2 linked regions of the Bombyx mori genome follow. The protein of the gene in region 1 interacts with the protein of each later gene in a biochemical or structural test. Links are inferred from orthologs where the notes say so. Each region holds a gene or a part of one and is shown on either strand. Other genes may lie near its edges.

Evidence for each region.
Region 2: the proteins of lissencephaly-1 homolog (region 1) and nuclear migration protein nudC form a complex in vitro, tested with the Homo sapiens proteins (3 studies listed by BioGRID). The link is inferred for Bombyx mori from reciprocal best matches to the Homo sapiens genes PAFAH1B1 and NUDC.

The regions. Positions count from the first base shown.
Region 1 is NC_085114.1:11,220,273-11,224,569, reverse strand, and holds the start of lissencephaly-1 homolog, read right to left. Parts: upstream 2,896-4,297; 5' UTR 2,723-2,895; intron 1,259-2,722; 5' UTR 1,155-1,258; coding exon 1,117-1,154; intron 1-1,116. UniProt on the Homo sapiens protein: Regulatory subunit (beta subunit) of the cytosolic type I platelet-activating factor (PAF) acetylhydrolase (PAF-AH (I)), an enzyme that catalyzes the hydrolyze of the acetyl group at the sn-2 position of PAF and its analogs and participates in PAF inactivation.
Region 2 is NC_085128.1:8,585,662-8,590,255, forward strand, and holds the start of nuclear migration protein nudC, read right to left. Parts: upstream 2,870-4,594; 5' UTR 2,685-2,869; coding exon 2,610-2,684; intron 1,694-2,609; coding exon 1,616-1,693; intron 538-1,615; coding exon 315-537; coding exon of another isoform or gene 310-314; intron 1-309. Other genes in the region: broad-complex core protein isoforms 1/2/3/4/5, read left to right, coding at 4,124-4,303. UniProt on the Homo sapiens protein: Plays a role in neurogenesis and neuronal migration. Necessary for correct formation of mitotic spindles and chromosome separation during mitosis. Necessary for cytokinesis and cell proliferation.

The sequences.
Region 1 (4,297 bases):
CGTATTCAGTTGATATGGCTTTCATTGATACGCAAATTATTATTTCACACTGTTTAAATTGTTCAGAAATAGATATTTTTAATACCTATTCACTCTGTGTTAGATTTGATTGCAAGTAGCATTTAATTTTGAAACTTGTAGTATTTCCGATTACACGGAGCTTAAAGTAAATTGACGTTAATAACGCGAAAATAATTTATAAATTTATTAAGTCATGTGAATCTTTAAGGAGAACACTTTGGCTGTCACGCGTTCAGTTTTAGTTTTAAGTTATAATTTGAGATCTAAGATTATTTTGAGAGATATAATTTAAGATTTATTATGACTACTTTTACGGATTAATCTTGCAATTGTCATTTTAAATTTATTATTTCCGATTATTCGAATACTTTACAATTTTCGTGACCACGGACAAAAGATTAAACTGTAAATGTAGTTTTGATTATGACTTTTGTTGTTGAAATTGAAAAAAGTTTTTTTTAGGTTATTTAGGGCCATCATTTTTTCCGTTTGTTTTGAGGTCTTTCAGTAGAAAAGGCTTCTATCATTCGAAAATATTCTTGCATCATCTAAGGTTAATAAGATAAAGATAAGCAGTTTTAATTTAGAGCACAATCCGATAATTTTTTTTCTGCCATATCCAGTAACCTCGAGGGGTTATTCTAGATTCGCCGAATTAGCAGGTGAGCTCACGGGCTCAAACCTGACGACGTTGCTAATACGAACCCTAGCAAGAGCCGTGCTTCACAGAATCTACCACCGGATCGGAAACACGACTCACTGAGAAGATCCGGCGAAAAACTCAGTGGGTTGTGTCTGTGGGTTAATTTACTCGCCGAGCCCTGCGTCGCAAGCGACGGGTTCGACGAGAACGATGACCGGTGCTCGGGGACCTAAAAGCACCATTAGTGGATCGGGAGGATCGGAAATGATGTGTTATGGGGGACGTCGACTGCTTTCCATTCAGTCCGCAGGATCAGAGGTACAATTCGAGAAAATCTATGAAAACACCTTATTCGATTGTTGCTGTTAAGAATAGTATTATTATTGTTTGGCTTCGAAGACAGGATCGCAAGTACAAGCCTATATTTTGTGACAAATTTGCTATATACTCACAGCTCCTCTCGTTGCCGTTGTGACAACACCATTTTCATTGTGGTCGGTTGATGCTTGAGGCGGCTCGCACGTGAGGTTCACTGCTCTAGAGTCTTACTTGTTCACGCGGGCGACGGCGGAAATTCCGTTGCCATTATCACACCTGTAGCCAAACATAATGAATTAAGATTTTAGATACCACTGCAATGCCTATTTCTGCCATAAAGCAGCAATGTGTTTCAGATTGAAGAGTGGGGCAGCCGCTGTACTGTAAAAACTGAGAGCTTAGAACTATTGTTTTAAAGTGGGTGGATAGATTAGGCTAAAACTAGGTCTTCTCGCCTTGGTCATATGTTTTTATATTCCTCTCCCTAAGGTCAATCACAATGTCAAATTATAATTACTATGCTTATTTTGCTCTTTACATCTCTCTATGCATTACAATTCTTTATTGACATCACAGGGAATCTTTACTTGTCCCATACTAAATGTATTACTGTTATTTTTAACACAGGACAATGGTAGCTATTTTTTTGTAAAAGTTTCTAAGATTGTTATACTGAAACTTTTGATTGAATTTGCTTTTCTAAAATGATTTTATGCAATTGACCTACATCTTTAATCTTTATACATTATAAATTATAATAGAATAATTTGACATATTTTTCACCAAAGAAATTATATTCAATTTAAGATTTTGTAAAACATTTTTAATGTTATATTTCTATTTAAAAAAAGCATTCATCAAGGATCATTCACAGTACAACCTTTTTATTACTTTAACCAGAGAATGAAAAGATGGTTTATTAAAAATGATTGTTTTGTATGACTTGGTTAACATTGTAGATTTACAGATATTATAAATAATGATGTGTATTTGGTATTCCATAAACACCTTAATTTGCAATAAAAACATAAAACCCAAGTGTTTTTAAGTACCTATATGTAAATTATTGTTTCATAACAATTGTATTCTTGTATTCTTTCATTTATAGTTTAAACTTTAAAACAATCAATTTAATACTCTTAGTTTGTCAAGAGGTATTATTTATTTTAATATTTTACCGATAAACAAAATTTCATGTCATCGCAAACATTTTTAAGTCTATGTATATAATATTGAAATGAGCATAACCCTGGCATTACCTCAACTCTGTTTATTGGATATGTTCAGACTTTAAAATTGTAATCCTAATCCTGTATTTAAATAAATTTAAAGAGTACAAGAATAAAAGCTAAAGTTGGTATAACACTGTAATGTATTTTATTTTCCTAATCAGTTTCGTAATGATTTAGCTTTTAAATGCGCAAAACAAATTCTGCATTTGAAATTACACAGGGATAAACTGCAAAATGAGTCAGAAATCAAATGTCAAAACCAGCGGATTGCTGTCAATTGCCACATCAACTACGCTTTGTCGAACGTAATATCTGAATAAACTACGAATATGTATTTATATGAATGGCCATTTACAAAGTATTCATTGCTTCAAGACATTGCTAAATAGTCGCAAAATAATCATAAGAACGGCCATATTGAACGTCTGTCGTGGTACAGGATTTCCACTCTATAATGAAACACAACTGTTCTAATTAGAAATCGTTAGTGGTAAATATTAATACTTACAGAACACAAAAAATCACTTGCTTTTACACTACAGTTTAATTTTATTTGATTTAACACACACAGTAAACGCACTTCACACAAGACTCGAGGCAGAAAACCGTTTTCGTTGCACGCAAATGCAATGGTTTTCGTCAAAATCCTACCAACTCTGTGACTGAATGAACTGAATGAACTAATTTAACATCAGTTTCGATTTTTGTATTTTGTAAGCTGGCAAAGTAATTTTATTTGCACCCTAAAGACAAAATCGAAACTAGCAACCCGCCATCTTGTGTAACGTCATTTTTGACAATTTGAAGTAATGTTGCTATAAAAAAATATAGTCAGAAAAATTTAATGACCCATTTCAAAAGTTTTATTTTAACCTAAGTTGTTGTATTATATATATTACAGTGATTATATGATAACACAATACACGCAAAAACTCCACACATTTTCCAAACACAGTAATTAATTTAAATGCATTAGTAAATCTAGTAGTTTAACTTTCTGAATATGTTTCACATACACGTAAATATTCCGAAATCGAAAAGCGAACATAATTGATGAATGATCCCACATGTCACTTGAACCTTGAGCAAAATTGAGCCCATACTTCAGCTCATTTATAATTTAGTTGCTTTATGTGCTGTTTTCATCGTTTTGATTATGTTATTGTAGTAGAAATTAATAAATGCTCTGTCAAATATCGAATTTTCGAAAACTGTTCATTTAATAGATAAAATTATGTAAATTAGGCATACTAGGCAAAATGAACAGGTGCTCAGTGTAATCGTTTAATGTTGCGATTATGTCCATGCCCAACATCTCAGTATGAAATCAAACCTGTAACGTGTTTATCTGCGTTAGTATTGCTATCAGACGACCGTATGAATCAGTCATGAATTGTAGCTTGAAAGGCGGAACAACCATATAAAAACAATATACTTGACGAAATATTTACTTCAAAGAATAATAGCAAATTTTAAAATCTTACTATCTATCCTTTAATCTATGCAGATAAAATAGTAGAGGTAACTATTTTGTTTTTTTTAAATACATGATGATGGTTTATCATAATCTAACTACATAAATATATTACACATTAAACATACTTGATATTACCCAAGGAAACGTATTTTAAAATAATTTAGTGAAAGATTCAATAACTTAAAAAGCTAAAACCGAAAATGATTTATTTATTCTTAATTAAGCTGATAGCCTTGAGAGGCTAGATCAGCGTAACCCGAATGTGTGGGTGAGCTCTCGGGGCTCAAACTAGGAGGCGTGTCTAGCACTGGCCCCAGCAAGAGCAGGGCTTCGCAGAATCTACCACCGGATCGGAAATGCGACCCACTGAGAGAAACTTAGCTGTGTCTATGGGACAGTTTACTCGCCGAACCCTTCGTCGGAACCGACGGATTCGACTAGAACGGCGACCGGTGCTTGAAGTACTTAAAAGCACCGTTAGTGGATCGGGAGGATCCAATATGACGTGTTTAGAGCGACGTCGATTGCTTACCATTTGATCCGCAGCATCGTATATGTAATTTCCGGCGGCCACGACAAGAGGGTTTTCGTGTCGTGCCGCCTTCT
Region 2 (4,594 bases), on another chromosome or scaffold:
CTGAGAGTCCTTTAGGTAACATACTTATAATCAATGCATATCTAGTCAGGTCATAAATTCTGTCACATGTTTAATGTAAAATAATTGAAGCAAGCATAAATTGACTTTACTATTGTTGAATTACTATTAAAATCTGATTTTACAAAAAAAGCTATTATCATAATTTAAAAATGAACTTGGGAGAGAATATACTCTCTTTCATCCTACTTCTGTTCCTGGGTATGTGCCTAAACAAATTAAATTATAGATAACGCAGGTGAAGCTTTGGGTGGAAAAATAATATAAATACAACTATTAATAAAAAGAAATCATACTCTTTTCATTTTTGTCCTTTTCAATATCTTCCTTTAACTTCTCTGCTTCCTGATCAGTGAGTTCAGTTACAGTAGCAGGTTCAAAATCATTTGCAAGTCTCTCTTGTTCTTTTCTTTGTTGAATCTCTTTTAATCTCTTGTCTGCTTCTTCTTTTTCTTTTTTAATCCTATTAGCTTCATCACATGCTTTTTTAGCATGGGTGTAGAAAGTATCTTTGACTACCTGAAAAAACAAAACTGTACATTGGAGATTTATCCAAAATCAAGTTTCAATTATTGACCCAAGAGGGATTACTAATAGCATAGTATAGCTGCTGCCTAATTAAATTAATGCATCTTATCCACAAATTTATTTATGATATATGAAAATTTATTAAGTTTTAATGTCTTTTATAGACTATTTGCCTAAGCAAAGTTATCAATGATTTTATTTTAATATATATATACAGTCAAAATCTGTTATAACGACATCGAAGGGACTGCTCATATTCAGTCGTAAAAACCGATAGTCGTAACAAACGGTGATGTTTAATGTGTATCGTGCAAGTACAAACAAATAGATAGAGAATTATTGGAAAACTATATTTATTCAACTATGTACATTATGTTTATTACACATAAGTACAATGCATATTATTTTTCTGTAAAATTATTGTCATAAAGCGTTTGAGTTTTTTCTCGCTCTTTCCAAATGGTTGAAATATGTCGAGTGTCCCACTCACACCACTACACCATATTCCTTTGCTAAGTCTTTGTTTGAAATTCCGTTCTCTAGCTTGGATATAATACGCGATTTTTCTTCAATACTGTTTTTTTTTTTTTCGCGACATTTTCAAAGTTTCACGAATAACTCCACAAAGTTTTGGTGCGTCTTGTGTATAGATAAGTAACAAACTAACTGAAAAGATATGAAGAAGCGGGCTTTGACTCTACGGCATGCACATGTTTTGTTTCTAAGAATTAGAAAAGACCCTACACTAAACTAAATCCTATTGCTTCCTTTCCTGATTTTAATACAAATGTGGATACCTATTCAAATTGTTTACAATACAGCTTAGCCAGTCGTTCTAACAGATCTAATTCTCCGAAATATTATGTCGTTTTATGAGGTATGTCGTTATTAGCAATGTCGTATAAAGCAATGTTTTTAATACAGCGGTCATATAGCATTCAGCCGGGACCTTTGTTTTAGGTTATTATAACCGGCATGTTGTTCTAAACTATGTCGCAGTAAACAGTTTTGACTGTATATATTGTTTTTATCTAAAATACTAGTAAGATTATTTTTAAGCAATATATACCTGCTCCCATTCCCCTTCACGGCCACCAGTGAAAAAGTCAGTTTTTCTAGACAAAAAGCTAACTATTGTGTTCAGCAGCTGGAAACAACAAAAAAATAATTAAACTTTTCATCTTTAAAATCTACCAGTGGTAGACCACATTGCAAGAGCTCACAGATGCAACTGCGCCCCTTGCAGCAGACATAGGGAAACATTCCAACTCCCAACAAATTTGATTTAACTTTTACACAATTGAAAACATTAAAAAGTCAAACTATGCACACTGCCCTGCCTATTTTTGTCACAAAATCATGCATTCTGCAATCGAAACTACCAATACAATTGAAACTTTCACCTTATATCTGAACACCTCAAATTATAACACTTAAGACCAAATGAGCTGTGAGATCATTCAGCCTATAGAATAAATAAAGAAATAATAATGTAGTTGTTGATGAATTTCATTACATTAGAAATATATAATTTATTAAATTATTATCAAACACATAACAGTATAAAATGCTCATCATATTTAAGATCAATAACTATGATGAATATAATATGAATACTATGATGAATATAATAATGAATTTGAAATTCAAAATGCAATGAATTAAAGAAAATGTTCCAATTATATACTTTGTCCTAACATTAGTAGAAATAATACTGTTGTCCCTTTCTTTGTGCTTTTGAATGTAATTGTTCAAATTAGTGGATTATGTGTCTGATATTTAAGTAATGAGCTTGTAACTTACTTATTTCTAAAAGTCAACAAAACTACGAACAAAAGTATTAGGGACATCAAGGCTTTAAAAGTAGGTATCTTCCACTAGTAACCTCCCAAGTTTCTAGAATGTGTTGTTATGACAACACGTGCAAGCGATCAATGATATTCAATTTAACGAGAAACAACTAAGCGCTTTGATAAAGACATAATAAAAGTATATTGTTTAGTGTCATGATTTATATCTGTTATATTATTGTGAACAAAGCAAAAATAATAATTTACTCTTACATCTTTTACGCCGCCTTCGTGCTGTTGTGCCATAGCTAGGAGCATGGAATCAAATCTTTCAGGATCGTTTGCCATATTTACTTTAGTATTAAGACGGTAAGTCACAGGTACTTGTTTTTAAAATTACGTAGGTAATACTTTAGTTTTTCAATTATTGCAGCTAGAGTCGAAAAACCGCAACTCAATCTCAGCCAAACAAACGATTTGTTGACACTTATTATATGACAACGTCAACTTGACACGTTACGGTTATGTTTCCATTTGAGGGTACCGTAGAGATGAAATTATTAGAGGTAATTATGACTTTATTGCACTACATGGTTACAAAAAGTATGAATAGAAAAATAAAAATCGAGAAAGCTTTAATTTCCTCGTGAAGATATCGACCGGAATAAGTAAATTATCCGTAACTAAACTTTATAATAAACCGTGTTCAGTGATTACAAAATACCAACCAACATTCTTATTTTCTTTTATTTTCATTTTACACACTATTTTGTGTTTATTGCTCACAAGGAGATAACCAACGATTCTTCATAGCTAATTTGTTGTAATATAAAATAATATATAAAGTATATTCATACTTCATTCGTGGAAAAAAATCCTTTAAAAGTTTTCCTTACTAAATATACTAAAACGTTTAAAAATTCCTTTAAAAGGTTTTAATTTTATTTTAAATTAATAATGTTCATCTATCTCTAAGAACAAGTTGAATGATACATCAAATCATTGGACATATTACTTTGCAGAGAGAAAATAGTTGCCGACACGACAAAACACTATTTTTATTATTAAAGTGAACGAATAGACCCGTAGTCCGTAAGCGCAAGACTTTCAATAGGCAGCAGCTTAGCTCGCCAATTGAGAGTTCTGGTGGTTATGACGTCGACAATCGGAATGACGTTAAGTGGGAGTAAGGTGGTGAAGAGTGAGTTTTCGGGGAATATGTCACCTTTCCCCCCAACATTTATTGACATCTGTCTTAGTCGTATTAGCGATATGGCCTGTTGAGCCACCGGAGATTATAATAGTCAGCTTAACTCTGGCATGCCCCACGGTACGTTTCTAGCATGTAGGTGGAACTCCAGCTATTATGAGAGTTGTTAATTATAGCTTAAAATATGTCTGTTTTCATCAACTATAAATTGTAGTAGCATTTTTGATTTAGTAAAGGGATATACATTATACTCTGAGGTCTATCACTAATCCATCACTTCAAGCATAGAATAAAGACCAAAAAGATACGCAAAATCCATAGACAAAGGAAAGTGAAAGAAAAAGTCAGTGTCAAATCAATGGAGGTCATTGCATTTTTGTGCATTTTCTAAAAAAATAGAGAAGATTTGAATACGTTTTCACAGAAATTGAATGTTTTATTAAAATGTAATTTACTTTACGGAACAAGTTTGTGAGTAATTAATAATACAATTGTTTTTTCTTTCCTTCGATGTCATGTGTCAAAATGAAGTCAGCGAAATATTTTTCTTTTGCAGATATAAATTGAAACCTTAAGAATGGCCGACCAATTTTGTTTACGCTGGAACAATTTTCAATCGAATATTGTGAGTGCATTGGATTCCTTAAAATGTTCTGAAGATTTAGTTGATGTGACGCTTACTTGTGAAGGTAGAAATATCAAGGCCCACAAAGTCATTTTGTCAGCGTGCAGTCCGTACTTCAGGAATGTGTTCAAGGTAAATGACTTAGGACATTAATAACCTTCATATTCATTTACAAGTAAATATGTTATGGTATATGCAATGTCATGCGAATACCAACAATATACCTACTTACTACTAAATGTATGCTATGTTCGTTTATGCACATATTAAAAGGATTTTATTTTCAATACTTTTTTAATGATGGTTCTACAAAATTATATTTTACTTTTTTTTATTTTTTTTTATTACAGAAAAATGTAATATTTTGTAAAAATGTAATATAATGTAATATACTTTAATATTTTGTTAAGTAAACCTAATGGT